4 linked regions of the Oryzias latipes genome follow. The protein of the gene in region 3 interacts with the protein of the main gene of each other region in a pairwise test. Links are inferred from orthologs where the notes say so. Each region holds a gene or a part of one and is shown on either strand. Other genes may lie near its edges.

The links.
Region 1: the proteins of transforming acidic coiled-coil-containing protein 1-like (region 3) and ckap5 interact in binary tests that used the Homo sapiens proteins (3 or more experiments, as listed by UniProt). The link is inferred for Oryzias latipes from reciprocal best matches to the Homo sapiens genes TACC1 and CKAP5.
Region 2: the proteins of transforming acidic coiled-coil-containing protein 1-like (region 3) and memo1 interact in binary tests that used the Homo sapiens proteins (3 or more experiments, as listed by UniProt). The two-hybrid records come from large-scale screens. The link is inferred for Oryzias latipes from reciprocal best matches to the Homo sapiens genes TACC1 and MEMO1.
Region 4: the proteins of transforming acidic coiled-coil-containing protein 1-like (region 3) and lsm7 interact in binary tests that used the Homo sapiens proteins (3 or more experiments, as listed by UniProt). The link is inferred for Oryzias latipes from reciprocal best matches to the Homo sapiens genes TACC1 and LSM7.

The regions. Positions count from the first base shown.
Region 1 is NC_019864.2:27,049,078-27,054,769, reverse strand, and holds the start of ckap5 (cytoskeleton-associated protein 5), read right to left. Parts: upstream 3,509-5,692; 5' UTR 3,431-3,508; intron 3,071-3,430; exon of another isoform or gene 2,942-3,070; intron 1-2,941. Other genes in the region: c6h11orf49 (UPF0705 protein C11orf49 homolog), read left to right, coding at 5,006-5,048, 5,147-5,249. UniProt on the Homo sapiens protein: Binds to the plus end of microtubules and regulates microtubule dynamics and microtubule organization. Acts as a processive microtubule polymerase. Promotes cytoplasmic microtubule nucleation and elongation. Plays a major role in organizing spindle poles.
Region 2 is NC_019873.2:27,903,635-27,908,783, forward strand, and holds part of memo1 (protein MEMO1), read right to left. Parts: intron 4,759-5,149; coding exon 4,677-4,758; intron 4,605-4,676; coding exon 4,536-4,604; intron 4,377-4,535; coding exon 4,264-4,376; intron 4,032-4,263; coding exon 3,920-4,031; intron 1,757-3,919; coding exon 1,614-1,756; intron 1,528-1,613; coding exon 1,451-1,527; intron 420-1,450; coding exon 315-419; intron 1-314. UniProt on the Homo sapiens protein: May control cell migration by relaying extracellular chemotactic signals to the microtubule cytoskeleton. Mediator of ERBB2 signaling.
Region 3 is NC_019863.2:30,784,856-30,790,800, reverse strand, and holds the start of transforming acidic coiled-coil-containing protein 1-like, read right to left. Parts: upstream 3,839-5,945; 5' UTR 3,721-3,838; coding exon 3,499-3,720; intron 661-3,498; coding exon 452-660; intron 1-451. Other genes in the region: nsg1 (neuronal vesicle trafficking-associated protein 1), read left to right, coding at 4,411-4,539, 4,659-4,775. UniProt on the Homo sapiens protein: Involved in transcription regulation induced by nuclear receptors, including in T3 thyroid hormone and all-trans retinoic acid pathways. Might promote the nuclear localization of the receptors.
Region 4 is NC_019862.2:8,271,817-8,277,601, forward strand, and holds lsm7 (U6 snRNA-associated Sm-like protein LSm7), read right to left. Parts: upstream 3,667-5,785; 5' UTR 3,560-3,666; coding exon 3,554-3,559; intron 3,321-3,553; coding exon 3,230-3,320; intron 3,135-3,229; coding exon 3,063-3,134; intron 1,431-3,062; coding exon 1,288-1,430; 3' UTR 1,019-1,287; downstream 1-1,018. Other genes in the region: kelch-like protein 24, read left to right, coding at 3,957-4,866, 4,993-5,404. UniProt on the Homo sapiens protein: Plays a role in pre-mRNA splicing as component of the U4/U6-U5 tri-snRNP complex that is involved in spliceosome assembly, and as component of the precatalytic spliceosome (spliceosome B complex).

The sequences.
Region 1 (5,692 bases), on a different chromosome or scaffold from region 3:
CATTGATTCAGTCCATGAAAACATTCTGATGGGTTGGACCCAGTCCAACATGGGAGTTAAAAAAAATTAAATAAATAAAGAGGAAAAACAGCAACAGAGTTATGCTACCAAAACTCAAACCCGACCAAAACAATATTTAGAAGCCTAAACGCCAATGAGAATGGTTGTTTTATCTGTGGCATTTGTGAGTCTCTGGTAAAATGCCAGGGGCATCCCTGCTTTCATTTATACAGCTGTAAAAACAGACTCAACTCCAGGGAACGTGCATGTTGACAATATGGTTCCTTTCTCTCCAAATGTCATCATTCAACATTAAAAACTGTTTAAAAAAATTAAAAATACAAAAATATCTGAAAATTGTGCATCATTATGTTACATAATGATGTCCTCGATTGGTTAAAGACACACTCCATTAAAAATCATATTTTTGGTGTTTTCAACATGTTCAACATGTTTTTGAGGCTTTTTTTTTAATCATAATTGAAGGACATTTTTAAAGACAAATTAAGGTTTTTAGGTGTGTTTGAGAATTTAATCTTTCTAAATGTTTTGAATTAGGAGCAGACAAAAAAAGATACTGCTGGAAAAAGCTTGTAGCAGTGACGTAGGGCAGTGGTCCCCAACCCCCGGGCCGCGGACCAGTACCGGTCCGTGGGTTATTTGGTACCGGGCCGCGCAGAAAAAATAAGATAACTTACACGACTTCCGTTTTATTTGTTTCGGAATCTGAAAGATTTTTTATTTTGAAAAATTGCCCGATTCTTTGTTACATCCGTCTATGTTACTCTTGACGCAGGCCAATTCGCTCGTCTCAGTCAGGAGATAGGATACTGCTAAAATAAAACCCAGGAACTGGCAAAATGAATAAAAAACAAACGTCTTTGGAAAGTTTCTTTGCCAAGTGGAAAAGGCCCAACCAGGAGACAGAAGAGGAGCCTTCGACTTCCAAAAAATACATTTAATAGACAGCATCAGGAGTCCTACTTAAAATACGGTTTTATCCCAACGGGAGATTCCCTTGAACCATTCAGCATTGTGGTGATTTGGATTTTCCATGCACTTATTTTAAAGGCATGTTTAAATGTTATAATAATAGCGATCAGGGAGTGTGGCGGGCAGAGAGGACGTTGCTCATGTCATAATTATTGTTTATTGTTATGTTTAGAAAATACCAGTTTTCATGAAAGTCATATTATTTTGTTGTACTGTAGTGTCGGTCACGTGCACGTTTGGTCTGCTGTCGGAGTTCCGCAGGGGTTACTGTAGGAGCTTGCATCGCAGGGAATTAAATGAATCCCCTAGGCCTGCTTTGGTCAAAATAGGGTTGAGCACGGGTGTTTCTTTTTGCCTACGGGTCCCTTCATCTGGCAGTTACGTTGTTTCACCCTTAGTTAATTCTTCCTGTTGTGTTTACTTCTTTTTAGCACCACGAGTGTGGGAAGGGGAGAGGATGATGACACCTGTGCGATGTACAATGTTTAGCGTGTCAAAATAAAAGTGCATGCTTGCCATTTTTGTTGCACCGGTAATGTAAGGGTGGGGTTGTAAAGGGCTGTGAGCTACCGGCAGAGCAACAGAGGGATGTCAGGAAGCAGGGGCGAGCTTACTCCATGCAAACAGTCCAATCCACAACTTGGAGGCAAATTTCTAATGAACAACTGCTGCTCTGCAGAATCCACGTCCAAAAAAAAAAAAAAAAATGACAGGTTTTTTTTTATTTTGGCTTTAAAAAAAAAACAGAATAGTCATAATAACAACGACCCCTGGGAACAATTTTAAAATAGATCAAAAGATGGTTAAAGTGGGACTTTAAAATGTTAATTATAATTTCGATCACATTCATGCAACCCAATTTTTATTGAATTAAAATTCTAGAATTTAAATGGGGGGGGGGGTAGGCCATTCATGTTAATGATCCTCACAAAACTTACTGTTTGCTCCTCATTTTATCTATACATTATGTCACAGAAACACTGCATTTGCTGAAAAAGGACAAAAGCAGGACAAGCTTCAACACCAATGGGACTTGCAGGGAACCGGCCATTTTTCCAGGTTAAAAAGCAGCAGAAGCCTATAAAGAGCTGATGTTTGTGTCAATAATTGAAACACCAATACTTTTGGGCAGGAACTTCCACTTACCAAATCTCCAACTATTACTGAAACAGCAACATCAATTAAAAGGGCATTCCTATTATGGTTCAGTTTATTAGTGACTAATAATGTGGTACGGCAAGGGGGAAAAACTAGATATAAACACCAGATAAGGTCAAGATCTTCACACGGTTCTGTAGAACATAATATCATCATGACAGTCTATGCAGCCTTTATTTTGATAAGTACAGATGTCAGGCACGAGCGCCAGAGATCCATCCAGCATCCATCCAACCTCACAGAGAAACAACGCGATATCATCATCGTTGCATTTTAGTCTCCACCAAGACAATGGTCGTCTTCGTGCAACCAGCAACTAGTCAAACCCCCCACAAAAAGCCAGTCAAGGAATGTGTCCCTAAAAATCAACAACCTGATATATAGGAGTGGTCAGCATCTTAAACTAGCAATCGTTACCAGTCAAAAACGAGCGCCATTAACCTCAGCAAACACAGTGGCTACTGGCTAAGGTAAGGTAGCCTCCTAAAATTGATAAAACCTCCCAGGGTTAAATTTTTAACAGTCTTTATAAACTGTACGTGCATTTTCCAAGAAACGTAAGATTAAAGTCCAATTCTGCTGAACTAACGATGCTCCATCGCTCTCTGTAGCCGCCGTTAGTTGCTTAGGAACAGGGCTACGGGCTAACCGTTCACCCCTGCCACCAGACAGGCCTAACAACGCAGTTCTCGCCGACAGACCAACAACACACACAGCACCACGATACGGCTCCTAAATGTAATTCGACATTTGGTTAGCGCCCCAAAATAAACTAAAATCAACGACATACCTGTGTGCGCCTCCTGGGGACTATAAGATGATGGCAACTCAGTAAAATGACAGACAATGAGATCACCACAGAGCTCGGTCGAGTTTTATACAAGCAGTTTGCGGATGTTAGCAACTTTCCACTTCCTGTACAAATTAAAAGAGTCCCCTTTACTGAGCCTCCTTCCATAAAGCATTTCGGCAAATTTCAAATTGGTATGATATGTATTTAGAGACACTTGACAGTAGAAAATACAAAAATATAAAATTACTCAAATAGTTCCAATTATAAGCGAAGGTTTGATTGACTAATTTTCGTTCTAAAATCAACTTCCGGCCCTCCGTTGCAAACACACATCAAACTTGACTATTCTTTTTAAATTACAAGGGTGGAGAGACAGAGGAAGGCGGAGACTCGGGACACCACCCTAAGTACATCAAACCTCGAAACTTATACATTCAAACAAAAGCACGAAGTGCAAACAAAGACTTTTAAACATCGGATCAATACCTTTTAGTTAACATTTGACGCGTGTACATTTGGTCCAACTGGCTTCCTTGAGTGTTTAGTGACGATGCAGCTGATTGGTTGAATTTGAAATAGGGACAACCCCCAATATTGATAGCCCTATGCTGATTGGACAAAAATAAGATAACACCCAATGGATAAAAACTGTTTGAACATTAAATCCGCCCAGATTTCTGTCAGTTTGTGTGCTATTGGATAATTTCATACGTTCCTTTCACACACATGTCTTTCCTATTGGCTGTGGGTAAACAAACCAATTTGAAAAAAACACATTTTTTTTACTCTACCATATACATTTTCCGCATATAAACATTATTTCAGACCCATATAACACTCCCAAATGGAAATCACAATATGTCTTATGCTGAAATAAATCTTTATTTTAAAAAAACTGGATGAGTGAAGGCATATTTATATAGGTTTAACTTACATGATGGGAGACAATATACCAACATTATAAAAACCATTCTCCAATCTTTCCTTCAAATCAATCACACTAATTCAACAATTTTAAATTCCCTCTCTGTTAGGTCTCATAGGTCCATCTATGATTATCATGAACATCATTACCAACAATTATCCAGTGAAAGTTTTACATCACCTTTTAAAAAAGTGGTGTTTTGGATGGTTCACATGTTATACTATGACTATGTGTGAGGGAGCCTAAATTAGACTATAATGTCAATTTCTCTCATTTTCTCCAGTCAATTTTCTTCAAACCTGTAGAGATGATCACGAACAACATTACCAACAATAATCCAGTGAAAATTTTGCGTCAGCTTAAATGAAGCAACTTAGAAAGAGTTGCCATGACCAGATGTGCCCTTTTACGTGGAGTTTCTTCATTGCTGTTTGATTCCATTCCATGTCATGCTCAACAACCCACAAAACACTCTTGTCAGTGTTAAATCTCACTTTTAGAATCTGTCTGATTGATTATATTTCAGACAAAACACGTTATTTCCGGTAGTTTATTGTGGAATGAACAGACATGCAATCCAAATGAATACATTTGTACATCAAATAACAATATAGGGCTTGCAATAGCTCTCGTTTATTTCAGAGCACAGTACATGTTATTTGATAATGGGTTCCTGTGACATGGGTGATATTAGCGCTTTATATCGTCTTTTCAGCTCGCTGGGCGTGTGTACCGTAAACTATGATGTGACTGACAGACTCTGCAGTCTGAAGTGGGACTAATGACTGTGTCTGTTTTTATCCAGATTTGTGTTAGTTTATGTTTCGTTGTTGTTTGGTCCCTCAATTATATCAATATTGTTGATTGATTCGTTCATTTCTGTAGTTATTGCTTCTAAAAGCGATTTTTCATTTGTAATGTTAGGGGGAACCTTTGTTGCGCGCTCGAGGGGGACTCGAATTAATGTAGCTCACAACATCCGCCTTTTCCCTTGCACGGACCATCCCGTCAGACAAGACGATGTTAGGTCCATGGAGCCGATATTTACTAAACAGATTCGATAAACGGAGTTCGGGTTCGTGTTCTTCGGGGTTGTTTAGGACGATCTGAGCAGGTTTTCCGACTGAACAAACAAAATGAGCCGCCTAAGCGCCGCCGTTCCGGTAGAGGAGTATCTCGGTAAGTTAGTGCTGGTTGTAGGTACCCTCTCTTCTGGATCTCGGTTCGGTCCAGTTCTGGTTTCTTCATATTTACGTGTCTGTTTTTTCTTTCTCAAGCGGAAAGTCACGTCCTTTTCTACCTGGGTGATGCCGTAAACCAGCTGCTGGAACACAAAGAGGAGTACACCCAGTTCGGACTGATCCGATACTTCGCCGAATAGTACGTGACGCAGGTTGTTCACAGCGATTCACACCAAGAGTGGAACGGACTGGCTGTCCAAACCCGGTCCAGTTAGTCCAGATTAAAGTTTTAATAAGACAATACTCAACTGTGAATGTTTTCTCAAAGGAAGACATTTTGAGTATTTTGTAGGAGCATCATTTACTGGAATTGAATGTCTCCTTTCAGTAGACAGTAGATGCTCACTTGGCTGTAGTTTCAACACACGTTTTATAAATATATTTATAGTTAAAATTTGTGTTTTGTCACAAATGACAGTATTAGACTCATAGACTCATGTTAAAATACTTTAATATTTAGACCTGACCGAAATGCTCTGGAACCAAAGAATAGGAGTAAACAATTGTCTACAAGGACGAATAAAGCTACTCCAATGACAATTGTGTTTCTTACACATTCTTGTGACATTTCTCTGATGATGG
Region 2 (5,149 bases), on a different chromosome or scaffold from region 3:
TTTCTTATTCTGTTTTATTTTCACCATGTTTGGATTTCTGGAGATCACTTTTGTTTCCTGAAAAGTTTGAGAATTTTTGTTTTCATTTCTAAAACGTAATTTTGTTTATTTCTTTTTTTTTTTTAATTGTCACTCTGATCTTTAGTGTGAGGGATTTGCTTTTGTGATTTGAGCTTCAGGGCCACCGTAGCCGTGCGATGAACAGGTTTGTTTTTAATTGAGACACAGAATTCCAGTCCTCCTCCTGTTCACACTAGAGCGGGTTGGGGTGAGATTTGTCGCGACTTTAGAAACTCCGCCTTCCTGCCACTTACGTTTAGCAGGACTCCGATGGGGTGACGCCCGCAGATGGTGTTCCGGTACTTCTTTAGGTAGTTGGTGAAAGACATGGGATCCAACTGCTCTATAATGCTCATCCCCTAAACAATAAAAGCAGAGAAGAAACTCAACAATAAGAACAATGGAACCCATATTGATCATAGCAATAAATGAGCTCAATTCGCTGTAACTGGCACAGAATAACTTTTCGCGTGATCTTTAGTGCGGTAAACTAAACTCCTAAGTTGAACACAACTGTTCTTTGTGATCAAAGCTCCGTCGCTTTCATTTGAAATTTCTGAAAAGATTTAAAGAAAAGAACATTGCTAACTGTTAAACCTATTTTTCCACAGTTCAGTCATAATTAGTGCTGCCAGGCCGTTAATGAATCGTCACCTGTAATCGATTAAACTAATTTATTTTCTATTGGAATTATTTTTAACCTGATAATTGCTGTAAAAAGCCTCATTTTGAGATCCTTTTATTTTAAATCCTGGCATTATGGCGCAATTAAAGAAAATTACTTTATGAAGTTTTCCTTATATAACAGACTTCCAACCCTTACTTTTAATATCCATTTTTTAATGTTTTTATCGGTATTGTTGAAAAAGAAGATGGAGTATGTTTTATGAAATAAAAGCACAGAATCCTTTTATTATTATTATCATTATCAACAATCTTTGGGGTCTATTCTCATGAATAAAATAATTATTTATTATTTGAACATGTGATTGTTTACAACAGACTTATTTTAAATACTCTTACAGTTTATTTCAAATGTTATTTTAACGGTGGGATATATTTTCATGCTAAATTATAAAAAATAGTTTTGTTTTGACTTAAATCATATTAAATATGTGTCTCAGCATTTCCATACATCACTTTTCATTCTTATTTTTTCTGTTCTGTTTGTTGTTTGAATACATTTTATTGGAGCATTTGAGACATGAATATTGGTATAAAAATAAAGTTGATTGAAAATAAAACATAAATCCAAATGACAATAAAACCGATCACGCTACACGTGTGCTGGTCCAAACGCTGTCTGTAGCAGAAAAAGACCACCGTCCTTTTAACCTCTACAGCCATGTGTGTGTAAATCCAAAGTGAGGCGGCGTCTTGGTGGATTTACCATCTTATCCAGGTTCTCGATGGACCTGTAGATCTCCCCTTGAGATTCATCGTAGTACGTGTAGCGGAACCGCTGACCTTCAAAGAAACACGGCAGCACAAGCCCAAGCTCAGGCGTCATGATCACAAACACAGCTTTCCCTCCCAACGCTGAACGTCTGTACCCCAGTGGCAGAAGTCCGATGAGATGATGAAGAGGTTGGTGGGGTCTGCCAGGTACTTGCTGAGCAGCTTCCCGTACTCCTGTTCTTTGGACTCGCTGAGAGCGCCCACGAGCACAGGAACGATGCTGAACTCGTCTTTGTGGCTGCAACATCACATCACCTTTTATGCTGAGGTTTCACTCCCCAGTAGAAAACAATCTCAGTGCCGATCGATGTGTTTATGTTCAGTGGAATAGCGTGCAGACTCCAGCATCAACACATGCTCCCGCCGCCCACTTTTCCCGTTTATCAAGTGATATTTCTGCCACCACATTGCCAACAAAAAAACATAGTTTTTAGATAGAAATTTCCTAAACTGAAAACAAAATATTAAGTTTTCTAAAAACAAAACTTTCAAATATTGTTTCCAAAATGTGTTTTTGCGACACTAAAGTTTTCTGATGCATTGTCGCTCATCTCGCTTGCCCCCCCATCTTTGATATCTGTGACAATTCTGCCACCAAACAGCCAATCACAAACAAGAGGGTTCATGCTGATTTGTCTAGATTCCATCCAATCAAATCGCTCCATTGATCTATCGTGGTGTCTCAGAAGCTGAACCAAATATCTTAAATTCGGCATCTTTTTGCAGAAAAATTTTGAATTATTTTTAAAATAATTCATACTTTCTTTTAGTATTGATTAGATTTTATGTGGTATGAATTTATGGTTGAAAATCTCCTGAAACCGTAAAAAACTTCAAAGTTTATCTGCTGACATGACGCTAAACAGGCCGGTGTGATGGAGAAATCCCCCTGAGCAAAATATTGCTAAGAAGTTGGATTTTCCTTAAGATCTGTTTGTTATAAAAATTAAAAAGTAAAACATTTACAGCACATGTTATCTTATGCTGCACAAAAGTGTTTTAGATTCGATTAGCAGCAGTAGTAAGTAAAGAAAGGAATGATGGCTCACCAAAGTAGACTTAATGTATTCAGCAGAATAAATGGCATTTTTCACTTTTAATGTTTCTTTTTTTGTCAAACTGAAACGTATCAAAAACAAAATCAACGATGGAGAAAAAGTGAGACGAGTGACAAGACATCAGAAAACTTTTATGTCGCAAGAATGTATTTTGAAAGCAAACATTTAGTATTTCTATTTGCAACATTGAAAGTTCTGTTTCTAAAACTGAGCATTTTGTTTGCAATTGAGGACGCTTTGATTTCAAAAGTGCGATTTTTGTTCGTAATGTGGTGGCAAAAATTTTACTATTTATTTTTCTCTTTTACGCCTCGCTGTGTTCTGCAGCCTGATTGGCTGTAAATTGTGTCGATCTCCTCTGAGCCGTTTCTCCTGTACAGACGGTTTTCAGTTAACCAGAGTTTAAAACATTCTCTATCGCGATCAGATCTTTGTTTTAAATCTATAAAACAAAAAAATTACTTTTCATTGAAAGTTTGAACTTTGTGACTTTAAAGATGAGAGAAATGAGTGAAAATGTTATTGTAAAGTTAAAAAGACAGAGAAAATGTGTTCAGAAGAGAAGATATAAGGTAGATTAAGAAAAAAAAAACGCTATGGGTTAGAGACGGTAGCAGTGAGACAGAGACAAGAGGCTGAGATGGAGGTAGCAGAGATGAAGATGTTGAGGTTCTCCTTAGGAGTGACCAGGTTAGACAGGATAAGGAACGAGTACATCAGAGGGACGGCTCATGTTGCCTGTGTTAGCGACAAAGTCAGAGAAGCCAGACTGAGATGGTTTGGACATGTTCAGAGGAGGGATAGTGGATATATTGGTAGAAGGATGTTGGAGATGGAGCTGCCTGGCCGGAGGGCGAGAGGACGGCCAAAGAGGAGATATATGGATGTCTTAACAGAGGACATGAAGTTGGCTAACGTTAGGGTAGAAGATGTTCATGATAGAGTGAGGTGGAAAACGATGATTCGCTGTGGCGACCCCTGATGGGAAAAGCCGAAAGAGAAAGAAAGAAGAAAAAAAAAACGCAAATAAAAAAAAACAGGGCACTCTGTTTGTATTCATCTGAAAAAGGTCAACAAAAAAAGATAAAAATAATTCATTTGATCAAAAATATTGGCCTGTTGTAAACAAAATGGCTGTATTTACATTAAGTTGTGATATATTATCATTAATGTTTGTTATATTTTACTACACAGGGATGTTTTAATGAAGTTTTTAAAAATTGTGATTATTCTATTTTAGAGTTTCAGCTTTATCTCATATTGTATCAGATATAAATCATGATCAATATTCCTTTATTTCAAATAAAAAAAGGGTTTTTATTTGTTTTCTGGGTGGACATTACCTCTCCATGGCTTTAGCAGTGTAAGGCAAATGCATTTCAATACTGTGCTCATCTTCGTCGATCTGCATACTTATTCTTTCAAACAGTCCAGTTTTCCAGAGGTCCGCATAAACTAAGAGAGAAAACAAAGCAGTCAGTAAATCATTCTTAATGTTTACTTATTTAACTTAGAAACTGTGATAATTAATACCAGAGAAAAAAGAAAAACAAGTTTATTCAGGAAAGTCACAAACACATTTTGTTATAGAAAATGAATACCATTAAAAATGATGGAATACCATACGAATTGTGGATTCTTTTCTCACTAAAATGCTACAAAAATGGAGTCATAGAGGAGTAAATACCCTTCTGGTCGATCCTCAGGTCATACAGAGGAGTTCTATAGATGTCTGCAGGTGACAGGGCACAGCGGGAGAGCGGCACATGGTGTGAAGGTCCCAGGATGAACACCCTACGACTGAAAGAACCAGCAATCAATCTCACTCATTTCAGACAAAAAAGCCCCTCCACCCTCGCTGCAGTCTACATGAGCACATGCTCCGTGGAGGACGAATGCAATGGAGTCTGCAAAAACACGGAAAGATGAAGAATTGGTGCACAAAGCTACGCCACTTACGTAATAGAGGGATCAACCTGCTTGTAGGCATGTGCTGCACAAGCACCACAGTAGGTGTAGCCAGCATGACTGCAGACAAACACGTGTCAGTATAGAATGAAAACATAGAAGGAAGTCGAGAGCGTTTTATGATGCTCTTACGGCGCTATGATGGCTCTGGCGGGTCTGATGGTCGACTGCGCTTGGGACAGCCAGCCTTCTAACTGTGCATTCAGCTGGGATCCTGCAAACATTTAACAACAAGCATGCAAATTCATTATTTACGGTCTCTAGAATAAGTAGTAATTGTTGAGGGTAAACGAGAAAATACAATGCATTTCTGATTAACGACTGAATACCAGTACGTTTACATCCAAAGTATAGAGTTGTGCTAGACTTAAGAAGAATTATTGTTTTATTACATCACACAAGGCTTAGCATAAGCCAAGTGAAAGGTTTTCCTGATTGTGACTTGAACCGCAACAAATTTTTTTTTTTTTTTTAGATTTTTTGTAAAATCAAATCATATTTTGAACCAAAACAAAACTGTGACTAAAAAAAAAAAAAAATCAAAGATTGAACCAAATCAAGGGGGAAGTAAATAGTTGGATCCATAGTTGAAACCATTAATAAAA
Region 3 (5,945 bases):
CCTCAGAGCGGTCATGTGGGGCCTGTGCCGGCGTTGACCCCCTCAGGCGGGTCTTGTGCGTCCACCACATCCAGCCTGGAATTCCCATTCTCCACGCTGAATGGCGGTTCCGACCCAAACTACGTCCTCCTCCCATGAAGTGACTCAGAGCTGGGGATGGAGCCCCCCCCCCCCTGCTGTGACCTCCTCCTCCCAGAAACTTAACAAGGAGGCAGGAAGTTCACGACTTCGAACATCCTTCTGTGCAGCTCTGCGCTTGTGTTTTTCCCCTCCACACGCTGCTGGTCTGACAACACTTTTATGAATAGGAGCTTTGTTTGGAAAACACAATAGTTCCTGTCTGACAGCAGAGCCTTTAAACCAGCACAGTCAGCGCCCTCATGGACCGGAGTCCATCGAAAAAGCCCAAACCCTGGTTCGGGAGCCGTCCCACTCTGAGCATCAGTCCTACCTCACCTCTCCGAGGATCAGGATTCCTTCTGGAAGACAGAGGACCTGCTGCTGCTGCCGCTGCCGCTGCCGCCGCTGCTGAAGGGAAGAGTCTGCACTCTCTGCGTGACGGCGCCGGTCCATGTGGCTGAATGGGAAGTGGGAAATAAACTTTCTGGGCAGGGATCCGTGAACAGAGGGGCTGTTAAAGGCACAGCGGTCCCAGAGCCTCTGCAGACAAAAAAACAGACTTTATTAAATATTTATGTCACCATTGAGCAATAAAATTTACAAATGTTATCAAAAATAACTTTACAATCTTTTCTAACTTTAAAAATGATCTTTTTTTTTTTTTTAGATATACCTCATTTTTAAGCTAGACACCAAAAAAATTGGAAATTTAAAATAAAAATGTAGAATACAAATAATGTAAATATTTGCTCTTGTAAAAATTGTCTTTAAAATTAGAAAATGGATTTACCCAAAAAGTAAATGTGATAAAAACACAAACATAAAGGGTTGGTGGAAATGATCATTTAATTATCATTATTCTGATCAGAGCCGCCCGTCCAGGCTGTGGATCAGGAATGAGCTTCCGTTTTTTCCCCCAGGCTAAACTGCTTCCATGTTCTCAAAGGCACAGATGAAAGGAGATTTCCCTGTAGCTTTATCTATGCAAGTCATTTAAAGCTTTACACTGAAACCAGCAGATGTCACCATAAAGATGCCAGGACATGTTTGGTTTAACATCCTCCAATGAAAGACAAAATCATATGTTGCCATTAGATTAACAACCATTTATTGAGCAACATCTTCAAGACAAAAAGCAAAACATTTTTATTTTTTTTAATATGTCACAGATCTTTTTTTTGTATTTTTATTTACATTTTGTATTTCCTTTTTTCGGTTTAAGATACAAACTGCATGATAGAACAGAAAACCCAATTTAGTGTCATTTTTGAATCCTAATATTACATTACATTGGTCTCAATGGGCTTGACTAGTTATACAATAACATAAATCAGTTAAAAAATACAATAGCTGATTGCTAAATTAAACAACGTAAGCTAAACTGTTAGACCCTCCTTCTCGGTAAGGAAAAAACTCCTAAAAAACAAACAAAAAGCAGGACGGACAGGCGATGGACAAGAACACTTAGAGAAGAATGAACTTCTCTAACTCTACAACTACTTTTACTCAAACAGATTTTTTGTTCTTCACTAGAATAAAATCAGAAGATTTTTGTGGATTGGTGAAAAGCCGACGGTTATAAGTATAGTTTCACGTCAAAATAACTGGAGTTTATGCTAAAAGAAATTAGAAATTAATGTATCAAATGTAACTTTTTATTTAAATATGCCATCATAATTTATAAACTAAAGTAGAAAATAAAATATCTTAAAATTTGAGAGCAAAGCTTTTTTCTTTTCATTTACTTATTTTTTCACTCTTCTCTTTTTGTAAGACTGATTTATTTTATTTTATGTGCATTTGTGTTATATCTTGTTTAAAAAAACAAGTCAAAATTTAAGTTAAAAAAAAATTTGAGAGCCAAGCTTGTTTGAAAATTTCCTTAATTTCACCATGTTATGATACAAATTACTTATATTTTTTAACGGTAAAGCCACCTTCCTTCTTCCTTTGTCCTCAATGATTCCCTTTTGGGTCTAAACATTTTTTGTGTTTTCTTAGAGCAGATGTTTCGCTGGATCTTCAGGATATGCGTCTAACCCTTTATTAGAGGGATATTAATTCATTTATTGATTAGAAATGAATCATAAATGAAAGATAATGTTAATTGTGATGAGAGGATAGTGGAAAATCCATAAAAATCCTGTTTTTTTTTTAATGATGGATCACATCTCTTTTCATTCGTTACTTCTCCTTTTCTTAAAACGTATTCTAGACTGATTTGTTGTTTCATTATGCAACCCCCCCACCCCATATCCTGGCAACAAGTGTTTGGATTTTATGCAGCGGCACATTTCGGTTCAACAATTCCTGGAAAACCAGAGAGTCTCTGTTCCTGTAGGACGAGCATCCACAGAACGCCAAGGCGGCTCTTTAGGTACTGTTGAATTAAGATGACAACAAAGGGAAAAATAAAAATAAAAATGACCTCTTTTTGTTTCTTCTGTTGTGGAAAACTACCAGAAAAAAAGAAGAATTTGTCAAATCAAAGGACACGGCGTGTTTAATTTCTTCAAAGTCGCATCAACAGAGATTTTCTGGCCTCTTTTTATCCATTAAAAGAACATTATGAACATTCAGCTTTTATAAAACCATAAAGCAGAGTACAGGATGGAGACAGAAAGGATTTCCTTGTTTTGTAATCCATTCATCTTCTAGGTCACAAAGGTCGGGGGAAGGTGGGCTGCACACTGAACAGGTTGCTGGTCACCGACAAAGCATGAACTTGGATGGATGCACATGCAGGCTTCACACAGAACCAGAACCTCGTCACTGAGAGGAGAAACTGTTTCCCACCACAAAACTGTGCAGCTTCTATATGAGAAATGTCAAATATGAAGATAAACGTACAGAGGAATGCAATGAGTCTTTGATCCCTTGTTGACTTTGTAGGTTTGCCCACCCAAAAAGAAATGGACCGTCTGTCATCGTAATGGATGGTAGGTCCATTTGAGCAGGGAAACAAAGAAAATTTAAAACTCCACGTAAAAGAATTTACATACATTGATTTTCTTTTCATTGAGGGAAATGCGTTTTGATCCCCTACAAGAGTTGTGGTTCACACAGACTCTCCTAACCAACCTGTCACCTGAAGAGAGGTAAGGCTTTACACAAAGTCTGCTTAAGAAATGTGCCAAGTTTATCAATGAACACCTTCATGACTTAGAGGGTGATTGGGAGAAGGTAGTCAGAGGAGCCCAACATGGAGGTCTTTGGAATCAACTCAACCCGTTGTGTTTGGAGGAAGAGAAATGCTGCCTATGACCCAAGAAAACCGTCCCCACTGTCAAGCATGGAGGTGGAAACATGATGGTTTGGTGATGTTTTCCTGCAGTGCTACTTCGCCATGTGGATGGGCAAATGGGAGGAGCCATGTACCGTCAAATCCTTAGTGACGACCTCCTTCCCTCCACAGGGAGGCTTCAAATTGGTCGTGGTACGGTCCAATGGAACCAATGAATGGCTGAAGAAGAAGCAGATCAAGGTCATGGGGCGGCCCAGCCAGTCTCTGGACCTCAATCCTGTAGAAAACCTATGGAGGGAGCTGAAGCTCAGAGTTACCAAGCAACAGCCACCACATCTAAAGGATTTAGAAGTCATTTGTAAAGAAAACTGGACCAGATTTCCTCTCGATATGTTCCCAATATATAGCCATTTCTTTTTTTAGTGGCCAAACCTACAAAATCAGAAAGGAGTCAAATACTTTTTTTCTTCCACTGTTTATCAAATAATCATGTTGCTCATTTACCTACAAGAGTCAAACTCCTTCTCATGAGTCTTAATGAGCTTTTGCAGTGATTGCTGCTCCCCACGCAGGCTGCAGGACCCCAGCGGCGCGCGCGCGTGCCTGCTCGCGCACGAATGTAGGGATGTGGTGAGGACGTTACATCACTTGCAGTGCAGCCAGACGCCAGCAGCAGCATCCAGTTTGGGGGACAGCGCGACGCACAAAGCCGGCTGGCCATATTGTGCAGCAGCTTCCCCGCATATCGGCTGCGTTACACAAACCCCGCGCGCTCACCAACGTGAGGAGGAAAGCTGTTTAAACCGAGACTCGGCCGAGCTGGTAAGTCATTTTCATCCACACCGTCCTGCTCGTTTGCGGTAATGGGGAAAAAAAAAAAGCAAACGTAGAAACTTTGCGCGTTTCCAGGCCGCGCGCTGCGCGTCTTTTTTTGCGCTTCATTTCCGATGTTTATCGGGTGAACAAAAGCAGAACTGCGCGCCAGCGATGCTTTGGTAGGTATGCGTAAAAACGTGATGATGGATGAAACCTTCCTTGCAGGGAAAATGGTCAAACTGGGGAATAATTTCACCGAGAAAAACAACGTGAAGGTGGTCTCGGAGGACGGATTTGACACCATTCCTCTAATCACACCGCTGGATGCCAGTCAGCTGCAGTTCCCTCCACCTGACAAGGCAGGCTCGGCATTATAACCGACAACAATCATCCCTTTTATGTGTAAATCATGACAATAAATAGGAGAATAACGGCCAACACTGCAAGCTGCTAATCCCGGTTGCTCATTTTCACCCAGGTGGTGGTGAAGACAAAGGCAGACTATGATGCTGAGAGCAAGAAGGGGAAGCTGCGGTCTCCTAAAATTGCAGAGTTCTCCATCAGCATCATTGAAGGCGTTTCTGAGCGGCTGAAGGTAAGAAAAGCATCCCTCCCACAGAAAGCATGATGGTCGCCTTCCTGCATGGAGTTCAGGACATTAGTTCCCCCGCAACCCCAGCTTATAAACACTTCCTTATTCAGCTCCCTGTGCTGCTTGTCATCTCATCATGGCACGCAAGAAGACATAATGCACTGTGATTCACTTAACCCCGCCCTGAAACTCTCATTAATTCAGCTGCTGCCATGGCGATGGCCTCCACACAGCATCTCTCCCTCCTCCCTTTAATGGCCCCCCTGGTTTGGATCAGCTCCACTGTTTACTCTTAGAAAAATGATTAAAAATCAAGGTGAAGAGAACGGAAAAGTAAAAAAAAGCAGGTCTAATCCTCTGTAAATCAACAGCTGAAACTGCCTCTAAGGTTTGACAGGTTTCCTTTTTCTTCTTCTCGTTTTTTGATATATGAAAAAAAAAAAGTCTCATCTTTGGCTCAGACAACAAAAGCATCTGTGCTTTGAAAAGCTTCAGATGGTCCTTCATGCAGAAATTCTCTTTCAGCTTCTCCTGTTGCTTTGCTTTGTTCATTCCCCGCATGCTGCGTACGTTCCACCAGGCGGATAAAAAAAAGAAAAGAATATTTATGCATACTTTCTGAGGAAAACGCATTTTCACAAATATTTCCAAAACAGACCCTTCCAACCAACGAAAAGACCTCAAACGCATCGTGGTGGGGACCGCAGTTTTGTCTGCAGCGTTCATTCCTCCACAGTTCCTCAAACACCAGTGGTGGTTGCATAACTCCCAGAAGAAGTGGGAACCGAGCACCACAGATGGTCACAAACGCATTTATCTGCCTCCAACTGTTTCATCTTCCAGCAAAATCCAGCAAACTCTGCAAACACATTCTTGGATGTACATCTTGATTTCTCAGATTAAAACTTGAAATTCCAGTTTCATCTAAAAACTAACTATTAAGACTAACTTGGTTGTATGTTTAGTAAACAAAGTTAACACTAAATTAGATTTGAAATGAACAAAAGCAGAACAGAAAATTAAAGGCTTTTTTTTTTTTAAATGAGAGCATCTTTACATGTACTTTATTTTGAAATTATTTTAGCCATCAGAAAGGATATAATACTTTCAATGTTTTAGGTATACCTGCTCCTTATATTATAATCAGATCGTTTTCTAACGTACGCCTCTCGT
Region 4 (5,785 bases), on a different chromosome or scaffold from region 3:
GTAATTTGAAGGACTAAATGTTCTCACTGCAATATGGAAGGAAAATATTCCGTTACATGGAGAGCCAGACCTTTTTTTTTATTCCAGGGTTTAATCCGGAATAAAACATTTTGAAGTAATCTGAACAGGATTGAAACCCTCAGAGACGGTTCTGCTCTGAGGCGCACAGGTAAGAAAAAGTAAACTAATCCCTGGAGGCCATTAAAGGTCGACGGTCACAAACCACAAGAAAAAAATCACCAAGTTACTTTTAGAAACATTTTTACTTAATTGAAAGTGTTTTTTTGTTGTCGTTCTGGTGACAAACAGGATGGGTTTCTGATGGAAAACTCACCTCTTTGTCCTCTCATCGCTCTGAAGGTTTGACCAGGGCGCGCGCTCCTCTCAGCCGAACCTCCGCGAGGAGACGGGCCGGCGGGTCCGCTATATGCTCCACCTGATCCGGGGCGTGCCGAGCCTCTCCCGAACTCAGTCACTCGGTGTTGTTGACTCAGAAACGGCAGCTTGAGCTGCAGGAATCCCCGTCTCCTCCCAGCTCCATCCGCTGGGATCCCGTTGGCCACACCTCAGTGTGTCCAGGAGCTCCAGGTAAACAGGTGAGTGCCTCACCTGACCAAAGATCTTAAAGAGCTCTAGGAGGATCCGCCGAGTTCTTCCATCAGGGTCCCAAAACCCACAATAAAACTAAGGTACAATTTATCCATGAAAACTAGACATTAAACGCCACATTTTTTTCTGCAGAATTTGATTTATTTTAACTTATTATTGCAAAAATTCTCCATCATTTAGAAAAACAATGTAAACATGGGTGTTAAGCACAGTATCCCCACTCTGCTTACAGCATTTCTAATTTAAAGTCGTTAATGCCGCAGATTTCTCCCTGTGTGCCTAAGCTTTCCCATTCCAAACACAAAAACTCCCTTCAAACTGACAAAAGCTCACTCAGGGTGTGAAAAGGAAGATGTGATCCAGCTCAGATCACTGCAAGGAGCGACTGCACCCAAAGATAAAAACAAACTCCAGCATAGGTTTTCCTTTTATTTTTCTTATCAAAAACAAACAGTAAAAAGCTCACGTTGTTCCTGCATAAAAATGAAAAGGTTTGCACTTCCGTAGCACATGAGCTCTTTAGAACAGAGGTTCCAACGTCTGGACACCACAAACAAAAGGGAAGTGCATTCAAAAGTCATTTTTACTGCTGATTCTCCAGCTTTCTTCCATTAGGTTGGTTAAAACAAAAACAACAAAAATAGAAACAAAACAAAGGTCTAACACTTCATGGGCGATTTAGCCGTCTTGCTGCTGTATGAAGGGGTTGGGTATGGCCTCCATGCCGTCCTGAGGACAGATCAGGACGACGGAGGTTCCTCTGCAGACCACCAGCCCCAGCTGCCTGGTGTCTTCTGTCAGCTTCAGCTGGTCGTCTGGATCTGCACACAGACACACAAAGGGATTGTAAATGCCAGAGGATGTTCATCTTTATGTTGCAGTTTTTGTACATTTAAAGAGATTTTTATTGCCGTCAGTAAATGTGACAAATGCTTAACAGAACAAGAGTCCACAGTTGATCCGATACTAGAGGAAAACAATATTACAATGCAAAGAGTTATTAGTTCAAACACAAAAACATTTTTTTCTAGCTAGTGGACTCTTAATGTTAAGGAAATGCTTCAGAATATGATAATGACCTATTAGAACCTATGCAAATGGGAGATAAAAACTTTGGTTTACGGAAAAACACGCCAAGTTTTTAATCGTTATTAAACGCGAGTTTGATGAATTATTATTATAGTTTTTAACTGGAGATCAATACAATTAATTTACTTAGTTTGAAGAGTGAAGGTGAAATTCTTACTGAAAGAAAAGTTACAATATTTAGAAAGGAGAATTAGAAGAAAAAACATTCTTACAAAAAACAGTTTTTCGCCATGGCGATCAAAGTAGCTCCAACTGCTCTTTGTGACATTTTAATGCAGCCAAATTATATATACGTTTAAAATGTGTTTACTTTATTAATCATTGTTAATCCGGCATTAGAGAGTGGGCTAGTGTTAATTTTCTCTCGACTTTAATGTGTCTTCATCATGAATGCTCATCATAGTAAGAAATAATGAGGTCATGTTATGTATTTGGAAAACAAAAGTCCATCTTGTTGATGGTTTTTCTGAAAAATATGAATAACCTTCTTTATGAATCTTTAGAGACATGATGCAGACATGATGCATTCATGATGACAAACAGGACATTTTTTCAAGATGGGGAATTGTGATTAGAAAACGCAGTTCAAAGTTTGATTAAAAACAAAACATTAAGTCCTAAAATACCTGTCTTAGACTACAGCACAATAAATCAATGTTTATTGAAAAAGTTCAGTCTCATTTTAATTTCCAATTTAACTTTTTTCAATTTTTATTAAAGCTTTAGTTTTTAAGAAATACACACTTTTGTAGAACTGATGAATTAAATTAACGCTGATGTTTTTCACACTTATTTACGAGTAAAAACTGCACAAGAACAGATGGAAATTCACGTATTAAGTTCAGCAAAGATGCATTTATCAGAGTCATTAGTGGTTTTACCCAACCCTAACCATTCCTCCAGGTCTGTGAGGCCAAGAAAGAAGTTCTGCACCGGCTCTACGTATTTAGAAAATTATGTGGGAATAGTCACTTTCATAAATTGAAGAAAAATAGAACTTTAAATACAAAAAATTGTAAATATTATAAAGGCGAACAGATTGGCTTCTCCTGTCTGAGAAGGCACGAGAAAATCGTTTAAAAAAAAAAAAGAAAATCTTGCGGCTTTGATGAGTAAATATTACATTTTTTAAATGGAGATCAATACAATTGATTTACTTAAAAAAACAGTTTGAAGAGTGAAGCTGATATTCTAACTGAAAGAAGAGTTACAGTATTTTTGGAAATGAAAAAGAATTAGAAAGTTTGAACCTCACAGCCTGAGTCCACATAACAGTATCAGTAAACCATGGACTAAATAACTCCTAACTACTTAATTATTAGTTCTCCATTAAGAAAAGTGGGTACACGTGAGTTTTCACTTACCACGCATGTACTCAATTGTACCGTCCAACACCAGGTTCAATAGAGGATCGAACCCTTTTAGAACTCCGCTGGCTAAAGAGGGAATAAACAAAGTAAATAATTATATTCTGACATCACTGTGAATATTCTGGTCACCACAAGTTACAATCTTTCGACAAGCCACCTACCCTCCCGTCCTCCTTGAAACTTCACACGAATTGGCTTGTCGATGTATTTGGACAAGTCAAAGATGCTCTCCTTCTTTTTCTTTTCTTTATCCTGTAAAGAAATGTCAGTTTCCAAGATTAATGCACAGTTTAAGGCGCAGACCCTTAGCCTAGCATTAGCTTAGCATCACTGACTAAGGCAGTAACAATTTCACAAATAAAACGGCCGTTACTTCAGAAATGTTATTCTCATTTCCTCAAGTATTCTATTACTGACTAACACCAAATAGAAAATGTTCGGTGAACAATAAGAGAGAAAATTAAACGAAATTATTTCGCACTCACCGCCATGTTTGAAGTGTGACCCGGAAGTTAAACTTTGACCCCAGATACAATTTAATAGCACCAATCACATCGCCGTAAACTCGCATCTGACGTCATCTGAAGTTATTTGCACTCAAAAAATAAAATAAAAAAATGTTCTTAGCTTTAGTTTTACTAAATAATTGTATTTTAATAGTAATTTTTAAAAAAACTTTTACTTTTCAAAGTTGACCTCTTTCTTAACTGCATTCTCCGGGCAGGGGCGTCTATTAATAAACAAAGTACACACCAGCTGGTGTGTTGGGAACCTACCGTAGTTGTGATCCAGAAACAGGACAAAGCAGTAGACTTGTTTTACTCTTTACAGTGACTGAAGTGAAGTTTCAGAGCTTCAATCAATCTTTTCCATGAGTTAGATAACACAATGGACGAAGATGGATATGCTTTTCATGTGGAAGACCCTGGGCCGGATTTTATTCCAGATGCTGTCCTACGGGTAGAGGAGGAGAACTTTTACGTCTGTCGGGAGCACCTGGCCCTTCAGAGTCCATACTTCAGAGCTCTGTTCTTTGGCTGTGGTGTGGAAAGCCGCAAAAAGCTTGTTGAGATCAAAGGTGTGGGTCGACAGTCTTTCAAAGTTTTGATAGAGTACAGCAAGACTCGCCGTCTGACTTTGGACCATGAAAATGTTCTTGGGATTCTTGAGACTGCAAACTATCTACAACTAGAAAAAGCCAGACTGCTGTGTTGCAAGTTCTTGGAGCGCGAGCTACACCTCACGAATTGTTTAGGAATGATGGCCTATGCATGGCAACTGGGCTGCTCTCAGCTTTATTCTGCAGCCCGGCAGGTTGTGCTCACACACTTCCCTGCGGTCTCAGCTGAAGAGGATTTTCTGTCCCTTTCCAAGGAAAGTATTGCTGATCTACTTGCCAGTGATGATCTGGCTCTCCACAAAGACGATGTGGCGCTTGAAGCCACCCTGCGCTGGGTTTCGTTTGATCCTAAACGAGAAGAACATTTTTTAGAGCTAATAGAGCTGGTGAGACCAGAGTCTCTCTCCTTAGCATTTATTACCCAACTTCTGACCAGAATGAAAGGTTCTGACCCTCGAGCAAGGCTCATCAGCAAGCTGAATGATCACTTCCCAGCCTCTTGGTCAGTAGGCAGGTCTTTGAGGCGGACCAAAGCTACAGAGACTCTCTATGTCCTGGGAGGGCCTCATGATCAGGAACAGCAGGCACTGTATCAGTTCCACCCTCTGAGCGGTAGATGGCAGTGCTGTGCACCTTTGCAGCAGAAGAATCTAACTCAGTACTCAGTAGCTGCAGTAGGTAATATCCAATTAAGATTAAAGAGAATGCTTTTCTTGAAATCTCAAATGTGAAATAAATGTATAAATTATATTACATTATAAATGTATAAAATAAATGTAAATTTAAGGTGTATTTTCCATTTAGGAAACAACGTGGTTGTGACTGGAGGCCACTTCAGAGATGTGCTGTGGTTCAGTGTGGACTGGGTGAAGATATACGAATGTTCAAATCAGCGCTGGGTGGATGGGCCGGCCCTGCAGAAATCCAGACACAGCCACTGCTCCATGGGGCTGGACTCCTCTCTGTATGTCCTGGGAGGCTGCATGGATGAAGGCCTCGTGGGTGATGTTGAGGGGTTGGTTTTTGGATCAGAAGATGGCTGGCAGGGGTTGAGCCCTATGGTCAGGGCAGTGGAGCGGGCAGCCACTGTAGCTGTGGGGTTGTGCATCTATGTAGCGTGTGGCCTGGATGAAAATGGGGAGGTGTATGCAGGAATTCAGAGATATTTGGTGAAGGAAGATCAGTGGGACGTGGTCTCCTTTTCTCCATTTCCAAGGTAAGTAGAAAATGCATGTTGTTCTTACTTGTACTTGTTTTTTACCTTTTTATTTAAAGACCCACTCCAATCATCTTTTGATCTGTTTTAAAAGTTTTTCCAGTGGTTTTTAATCATGATTATGTAGTTTTTAGCCAAAATAACCATTTCTTAGTTTCTGTGGGGAAGCAGTTCATTAGAAATTCACCTCTGAGTTGTGGGAGGGACTGTTGGCGCAGAGCAACCCCGCCACCATTTTCCCTCCCCATTGCTGAGAGCTCTCTGTTTACATGCTCTCTCAATAGCCATATGCCCTTCACACCCCCAACCTAATATTACCAGTGCAACAAAAATGGCGAGCCATATTGGAGTTATCCATCCGAAGCCAGCTCTGACGAGGAA